Ovis aries: one gene and its partner. The protein of the gene in region 2 interacts with the protein of the main gene of each other region in a biochemical or structural test. Links are inferred from orthologs where the notes say so. Each region holds a gene or a part of one and is shown on either strand. Other genes may lie near its edges.

The links.
Region 1: the proteins of MXD1 (region 2) and MAX form a complex in vitro, tested with the Homo sapiens proteins (4 studies listed by BioGRID, with this or other methods). The link is inferred for Ovis aries from reciprocal best matches to the Homo sapiens genes MXD1 and MAX.

What each region holds. Positions count from the first base shown.
Region 1 is NC_056060.1:75,293,590-75,298,094, forward strand, and holds the start of MAX (protein max), read right to left. Parts: upstream 3,093-4,505; 5' UTR 2,863-3,092; coding exon 2,827-2,862; intron 2,108-2,826; coding exon 2,081-2,107; intron 1-2,080. UniProt on the Homo sapiens protein: Transcription regulator. Forms a sequence-specific DNA-binding protein complex with MYC or MAD which recognizes the core sequence 5'-CAC[GA]TG-3'. The MYC:MAX complex is a transcriptional activator, whereas the MAD:MAX complex is a repressor.
Region 2 is NC_056056.1:38,459,952-38,464,395, forward strand, and holds the start of MXD1 (max dimerization protein 1), read right to left. Parts: upstream 3,080-4,444; 5' UTR 2,843-3,079; coding exon 2,770-2,842; exon of another isoform or gene 2,202-2,769; intron 2,023-2,201; coding exon 1,923-2,022; intron 1-1,922. UniProt on the Homo sapiens protein: Component of a transcriptional repressor complex together with MAX. In complex with MAX binds to the core DNA sequence 5'-CAC[GA]TG-3'. Antagonizes MYC transcriptional activity by competing with MYC for MAX binding.

The DNA of each region.
Region 1 (4,505 bases), on a different chromosome or scaffold from region 2:
CAGGAGATAGACAGATATAGTCACACCCAGAAAAAAATAAAATCCTTTTAACCCTATGTATTCACAATAATTGCTTGATATGCTATAAAATTTGCCTACTGCTTCTCCTCTCTACACCAGTGTGATTATCTTACAACAGATAACATTTAAACATCTCAGCAAGTAGATGTGTCAAATTAAAAACAAAGGGTCAAACCCACTCCCTCTGCCCACCCTCCAAAATCAAAAGGAAAATCCTAAGTACCTTAACATCAAACTTAAAATATCTAGACAAAACAATGAGATCAGCACCCTAGGAGAGTGGAAACATTTTAATAATTTAATAAAACAATTTACATCAACAACCACGTGCATGGATATTTTGAAAAGCAGAAAGCTCTCAGGAACTATACGCCAAAATTCCATAAATAAAAATTTTCTCACAGTGGAAAGCCGATATAATTTCAATTTAAATAATAATTCTTCAAAGGAAGCCTAAACAACCCCTATTCTTCAATTCTGATCAAGCCCTAGGGCAGATTTTATAACTGGAGACTTGAAGGAAAACAGACCAGATTTCAAACATGAAATTCCATGTTTATATTATTAAGGATAATAGTAACTGAATAAAAGGAATTTAATTTTCAAATGTATGTAAGAGATATTAAGTATCTAACAATACTGCAAATATTCAAAGTATTGTCTTCAAATACTCCAAGGAAAAATAAATTCTTTTTTACTATTTGGAACAACTGCATTGTTGGATTTTTACAGAAATATCAGCTCTCAACAAGTACACTTTTTCTCAATACCTAACTGCTTTGACAACCTCAGAATTGAGCAGGTACAAGAGGGCTTGCTTTCACTCTGTGATAAATTCTTAGACCAGAGGTCTCTAAGTGGCATCCTTGAAATTCTAACAAGCCCCTAAACAACTTGATTGTCTCAAACATCATTTTAAAAATCAGAAAAATAACATAAAAGTCTGGATTTTTAATCTTCCAAAATAGGAAGATAAGACAACACTTCGCCTGATTCTCACGTAACAACCCACTGGACTACAGTGGCTGCCTTTTCAGAAGACGCATGTGTTCTTAAGTACTGCGGTTCCCACCTCTGCTCTCCACTTCATTCCTGACTATTCACTGCCTGGATCCTCTGGAAGCATCTCAATTTTGGGGCTCCATTCTATCCACTCCCTACTGCTCCCATCTATCAACTGTTAGACAGCATGATTTACTTATTTCTCTTCCTCCCTGATTATGATTTATCTTGTATCTATTCTTTTTACCTTCTATTCATGGAACACCCATAGTACTGTCTCAAGGACATGAGATTAGTGTCTATCTTAAATCCACAGAATCATCTACTGAGAAGATTTATAACAAAACTTTGAGAAATTACTAACAACACTGTATAGTCTCAACCATCACCTCTTAGCAAACCTCTCTCTGCAATGCCACTTTTCTTCAACAATTATTTTATTGCCTTTATACTGCTCCTTCAACTAAAATATAGTCAGATCACAATAAGCTGCTGAATGTGACACGTTCAGAGTCAACCTTTGGCTCCTCTACATTCCCAATGTCTGCATTAGAATAACACCAGGTTGTGAGAGATTCTATAGGTCTACAGCAGTCACATGACTTTTGGTTAAAGGTGATTACTGCATGTGGCTTCAGCTTCACACAACCATGGTTTAGAACCTACTTCTTCCTAAGTAAAACTGACCACTTTTCCCTGAAGTAACACTACAGCTTACTTCAGCATGATGCACTTCTCATTTCCCACTTATATAGTGACAACTAGAACCCCCATCTGAAAACTACGGAAGGATTCATTTCCTTGCATACAACTTCTCTCACTCACCTACATTCACGGAAACTTATCACCTGAGACTCCAGAATTATGAGATTCGCAAACCACCCTCCGCCCCCACCACCACCTAGAACCCCAGAGCAAGGCCCCACCTCACCTTAGCGGTTAACAGGTGAGTTTACTACAACATTACAAGTAACAGAACAATCTCTTTTTCTCTCCGACCCCAAAAAGGACTAGAATTGAACGGAAATGAAAATGAAATGGAGAGTAGGAGACGTACCGCAGATTGAAACCTCGGTTGCTCTTCCTGGAATAAGAGAGAAAAAAAAAATAGAAAATATAGAAGTTATTTTTACACTTCACATTCAATAATAAGAAAGAAAATGCCGGCGTCAGAGGAAGCGGCGGGTGGGGAGTCAGCCCTACCCCCCTTCCCCATCCTACGCCCCCATCCCCCCTAGCGGGATCGGGTAGCGGGGCAGAGGGGTCTCGAGCGCCGCCCCACCTTCCGGGATCCGACCCGGGACAGAAGGGGATCCAGAGCACTGTCTCCTCTCCTCGCACCCAGCTCATGGCATGTGGGCACTCCCAATCCCTCTCCGCCCTCCTTCATTCCCCAGGATCCGCAGGTCACGGGAGCACGGGGTCGCGCGCGGACGGGGCATGGTCCTAAGCGCAGTCCCCCTTCCCCATGATCCGGACAATGGGATCCCCGGCGCACCCCGTCCCCGTCCCCCGGATCCTGAACGGGATAGGATGGGAACGGGAGGCCGCAGCACCTTCCTCCACCGGGGGAGGTTGGGGTCCCAGAGGCCGCGTGTCTCCTCCCCACCTCCAGTCCCAGAAGGCCGCTCCGGCCAAGAGCCCGGAGCGAGCGAGCCGGGAGCGCGACGGGTCCCGGCCCAGCGGGGGAAGGGGAAGGAGGCGGCGGCTGCCCGGCCCCCTGCCGCCGTCGCCCTGCTGAGAACCCCGGCCGCTGTCCCAGCCTGACAACCCGCAAGGGAAGGAAGAAGCCCCAGGACTCACGTCGCTCTCCACCTCGATGTCATCGTTATCGCTCATTTCCTACGGCCCAGGGAGCGGCCACTGCAGCGGCGGCGGGGAAGGGGGAGGGGTGGAGGGGAGGGGGAAGTCACCGACAACAACAAGCCGAGTCCCCCCCCACACACACTCACTCACTCACTCACTCACTCGCTCTCTCACTCACACACACACACACACACGCACACACACACACACACACAACACGGGCGAGAACCACCTCCTCACTGCAGCACCGGATCAACGGCGGCACGCACGCCCGGTCGGCCCCCTGCCACGTGACAGGGCTCGTCACGCTGGGGCCGCCGAGACTTGTAGTTCTTGTCCCTTTGACTTACGGCCCAACTAAGTAAACAAAAACTACAAATCCCATAAGGAACTGCATCCAGTCTTCGCCAGCCCGGCTTGTTGACGGAGCCCAGAGCGCCTGCGTGCCCCGTGGAGGGGGCGGAGAGAGAAGCTGCGCGGTGCTTGCTGGGAGTCGTAGTCCGTAGACCGCGAGTTGTCAGGAGATTTTCCTCCCGAGGCGGCAGAGGTGGCTGCTGGGAAGACAGGACACGTGGAGGGAGCTGGGGCTCCTGGAGCCGGGCACAGGCTGAGCGCCGGGCGCCGGGCCCAGGGGACAGGGTGGAGGCTCTGGAGGAGTAGCCAGCTGCCTAAATAACGCTGCCTCTCCTTGGTGCGACTGGTTTTACTCTGTCTTTGGATGACTGAGTCGCTCTGCGTTGCGCCCTGGGGCGTGACCCTCCTGCTGGGGGATGCTACAGCAGCGAATTAGGGGGCGCGGCTCCGATTGCCCACGCAGACCCTGGGGATCTGGCATTGGGGAGGTGTCAATGGCAGGTGTTGAATGATGTCACAGACCTGGCAAAATGACCGACCACCGGCCTCGCTGAGAAACCTCTCCCAGTCACGAGAATCTAGTGTCCATTCATCCGGGACTGACCATCTTGCTCCTTACTTAAGGGTCATCCTTTCAGGCTCTTTACATGGCAATAAAAGCGCCTTCTAAATTTGTTGTAGAGTAAGAAGTTTAAGGAGTGCCCCAGTTCAGAGTACTATAATTAAGAACTGCAAAAAATACCGAAATGGGAAACTGATGCAGCTCCCTATCTAGTTAAACTCTTATTTAAATATTGTGGCATGAGGTGTGATCGTATCTATTTCACTAATATTTATTGGACATCCAACATGTGCCAGCATGGAACTGACATAATGTGTAACACTGGAACGGACCCTGTCTTTATGACGCTCACAGTTGTGGAAGCAAAAGTGAGACTGCCCTGCTGTAATTTTAACAGTGTACCTTTACAATAAATCCTTAATTTAAAAACCTTAGAATGTTTAAATTGTCGAAAGCAGTTTGGAAATAGATTTCGTAATAAAGCTGTCTTCATTGTATGTTAGGATTATTTCTACTGCAGTGTGGAAAGAAAGATTAAGTAAAAATTCTTTATGGTCTAATGTCATCAGTGGAGACAACTGGAAATTAAAATAGGATGGTTACATTACTGCCTTGGAAATAAAAGCGTATCTAGAGGACTGTAAAAAAAAAGTGTATATTAAGTCCCACAGAAGGAAAAAATAGAAGAAGAGCAAGACACTTTCAAGCCTAAGACAGTTACCAAGCTACTCTTATGTCTGGTGTCTGAAATGAATGAAAT
Region 2 (4,444 bases):
GTCATGAAGGAAGTGATTACATTTAAAGAAAACAACCTGGTGTTGCTTCATCTGTTTTGCTTGGTGCAATCTCCAGGTTTAACCATGGTCTCTCAGAGATCCCTGCACCACTTAAATTACTGCACGAATTCATCATTAGTCAAGAATATGGAAAACTGTGAGAGTCTCCCGCTTCTAACCATGGAAAGCAAACAAAATCCATTTACAGAAATAATAGAGCTTTCCCCCAGAGTTACAATCATTTTCCCAGGAATAAAGCTGGATATTAAAGAAAAGAGAAAGAATCTATTTCTTGAATTGAAATTCTCAACTATCATTATTTTTCTTTCCTAATCACCTTTTGGAGAAGGGAATGGCAATCTACTCCAGTATTCTTGCCTGAAGAATCCCATGGACTGAGGAGCCTGGCCGGCTACAGTCCATAGGGTCGCATAGAGTCAGACACGACTGAAGTGACTTAGCATGGCAGAGCATGGCAATCACCTTTTGGGGCCAAGCTACTTCTCTTCGACAACATCCCCTTCTTATTCTCACCACTGAACATCCCCTCAACAACTTTTCTGTGAAACTTAGGAGAAAACAAAGTACTAAGGATTAAGCCTTGACTATTAATGTGAACAATTCCTCTCAAATCATGAGTGGACAAGAGTAAAAGTGAAAAATAAACTACACTTTTCCATAAAAATAAAGCAAAAGGCTTCAATGTCTTTTCAAAAAGTTATTTAAAAAATACTGTAACAAAAAGCAACGTAGATATTGTTTTATAACACTGCACACTACAAGTCAGCATTAACCTTCTTTGGATAATGCCAAAGGTGGGAGGGAAAGGAAAAACCACCAGGTAACTAATTAACAGGTTCATCCTTCCTGTGCCTTCCCATTCAAGAGCTCGGCACATATGTGCTGCTCACTCATATCCTGTGGTTCTTCCAATGCTAAGGACAATGGGGTGAACCAAGGATAGAAGAGGAAGGAAGAACAAGGGAGTTGAAGGTTTAAGTGGGAAACTTCTGGCTTTTAGTAGTCTGTATAATGTCACAGACACTAACCAAATAGTTATTTGCAGAGTATTCATGAGAATGGGAGATAGACAAGGATTCTAAATCAGTAAGGAAAATGTCAATGATTTTCAATCACTGGAATAAAAGGTATAATTGAATGAGTCTAATAAAAAGATTTCCTAGCTAATGTATATATTAAGGGCAAACAGGGGAAAAAGGGGGTGCAACAGCATTAATGGAGTACTCATTTATACCAGGAAGTACATTCAGGGTTTTATTATGTGATTTCATTGATCATTAACCAAATACTTTCCAGTGAGACTTACAAAACTTTAAGAATTACAAGATTAACGTAAAAAGCTTGTGGCATGTGAATATTTTAATATCAATCTATTCCTCCATCACCAAAAAGCAGGTTTGAACCTCAATCGTTCCTCGCTGCCATTATAGTGACAGATTATCAGACATATCACTGTATTTAATTTACATGTCAAATATGAAAGCCTACCATCTATGCCAAATCAAGACTTTAACATATTTATAAAATCTTCACTATGATAAGCAAAACGTGGGTAATGTCCAGTATTTTCAGCTATAGAAAACTTGCCCTGAATCTGCAACTTCTGAAGGCAAAATATTGTCACTGCTGCTAATCTCACTTGAAGTTTCCACAGATTTTTTGTTTCAAAAGGGAAGAAAAGCAAAATTAAGTTCTGGGGAAAAAAGTTCATAAAGAAATAGAAAACACTTCCATTTCTCTTCTCTTCTCAGTCCCCTCAACCCAAATAGAAGGGTTTCTTCCAAAGCCTTAGGACTATGTATACATTACTGAATCACGATTGCCGCTTCATTTACGGGGTTAAAACCCAGTATCATCTGCGGCATAACCTAAAAGAGAAAGGAAAATATTTACCAAATTACCTGCTACTGCTGTTATTCTTCTTGGATTTGCTCCTCCGTTTTAAGGCATCTCTGTCCTTGTTATTGTATGGTAACATGGAGGCATAACCATGTTCAGCTTCTAGAAAACCGGAGGATCCAGTTAATGAATGAACACAGAACAGTCAACACTCTCTCCCCTTCACAGTATTTCCTTTTAAAAATGGATTTATTTTTTATTAAAAGAAGACTGTGGAAATAATTAAAAGGAGCAAGGTGGAATTCTTAGAACAATGATTGTTTTCTCAATTGAGTGAATACCCTCAGTTCGGAGCAGGTGTAAGGAGCATTCCAGCTGCTCATTGTTGAGAAAGACACAGCAAGTCTCAAGGAGCCTGGGTTTCCCATTGGCAACGTCCAGCAGGTTGGTGTATATTAAGTGGGACCGGCCTCAGACGAAGGTGCGGGGCCAGACACCGGGAGCCAGAGCCGAGGTCGGAGGATGCGGGGCAAGGGAGGCGCTGCTCCGCCGACTGGGAGACCCGGCGCCAGGCCCACTTGGGGGCGGGCCGGGAAGAGCCGGGTGAGGTAAACCAAGCGCTTGGCTGAGGGGGCCCCGGGCACCCCATTCGCGACGGGGTGCGGAGGGGGAAGCACTCAGGATCCCGGGGGCAGTGGTCCCTTTCCACTCCCATTCATTGACTTTGGGGGCAGCGACGGCCTCCCTTCGGACCGCGCGTGGGGAAAGCTGGAGGGGTTGGGAGCGCTCGCGGGTCGCGCTCTCAGCTCCTCCAACCACCCCCGGAGAGGCTGGGCGCCGGGATCCGCTGCCAGGCCCCTCAGAGCTCCCGGGACTAGCTCGGGCCGGCCCCCTCCCGTCCCCGTGCACCTCTCTCCCGTCGCTCCAGGTAGTCGGCCGCCTCCAGCAGCATCTGGATGTTCATCCGAACCGCCGCCGCCATTCTGCACCGGGGGCCGGAGCCACGGGACCAACCCCCACTGGACACGGGCTCGCCGCCGCCGCCGCCGGACACCCGCGCCCCGCTATGGACCCCGCAGAGCAGGGCTGAGAGAGCCTCTCTGGCGACCACGCTCGCTGGAAGGGGGAGGGGACCGGCGAGCTGGGCACCACCGACACCGTGACAGAACCTACAGAAGAGCAGCAGCCGCCACCGCCGCGGAGTGTTTATCCCCGACTCACCGTCCCCCCGCCCCCAGGCCTTTCTCTTGACAGGCCCACTTCGGCTGCGTTCCTCATTGGGCGCCCCAAAGAATTCCCCGCCCCCGGACCTGTCCGATTGGGGGAAGGCACTACGGCCCCGCCCCTCAGAGTCCGCTCCTCTCCCTGGTTGGTCACGCTTGACAAGGCCCGGGCTCCACCTCCTCTTTCCAATTGGTGACAGGATTCTCAACTCCGCCTCATGCTCCTTCTCTGTTTTCCATTGGTTCTATACCAACAACCGGGCCCCCTTTTGCTTTGTTAGTATTGGCCAAGAGATACAGAAAGCAAGCCACTTTGCCTGTCTCCCATTGGTGGGACCTTCCGACACCGCCCAGCTACGATGACGTCATCTTTCCCCTGGCTAGCGATCCCTGAATGGCTAGTGGTTAGACGCCGGGCTATTCCTACCCCAAACTGGCATTGGATTGCAGGGCTGACCCGGGCACCGAGCCGCGCTGATTCACCGACCCCGCCTCGGACCTGTTGCCGGAACCTGTCTCCGAGGAAAAGTTCCGGGGATCTGCTGGACGCCCCTAGGGTGGAAGCTGGCACCGCGCGTCACCTGGGCGCTCTGCCCTGCTCGGGTTCGGGGCCAGATCTCTGGGTCTGCTGGCTGCGGCCCGGAGGTTCCAGGCTTTCCGGGGCCGAAGGCCCCGCCGACAGCCCGATAGGGCGGTGGGCCTGGGGCTCCGGCGAGCGCCACGTGGCTGTAGAGCTCGGCGGGGGAGACTGTGTTCAGTGCTCGCCACCCAGCGTTTTTTTTTCTCTCCCCAGAAAGCACTGGAATCGCGAGGCTGTATACCCCGCCCTAAGTGCTGGCTAATTACTCCCTCAAGCGAGTGGATTTTAAAAGCTCAGAAACTTCCTGTACCTGCAGATTGACGTTGAATTCTGAGATTTGTTTGACATCTCTTTGAGTCTTCCCTTCCCTTTTATTCTTGAGGAAAACATTCAAAAAGAATACTTCCTATTCAAGACGGCTATAAATGGTGTTAGTGTGTGTGTGTGTGGTACCAATATAAATGTACGTAGAACAGAACAGAACTAAAATTTTTAAGAATTGTTCCTTAAGCTATCTCGAGACCCAAGTTACACTGTTAATACACTGACAGCTCCATTAAAAAAAAACTGAAATAAAACTCTTGGTAAATTGAGACTCCTGAATATAGAAATGAGTAAAGCATGAACATATTTAACAAAGCTTTTAAACAGTTTATTGTTGCCAATATGTGAAAACAATAGCTTGTCAGGTAATTTACCTACATTATTGCTAATCCTCAAAATAACCCCACTAGATAGGTTAATTATCTACGTTTTGCACTTAAGGAAACTGATGCCCAGA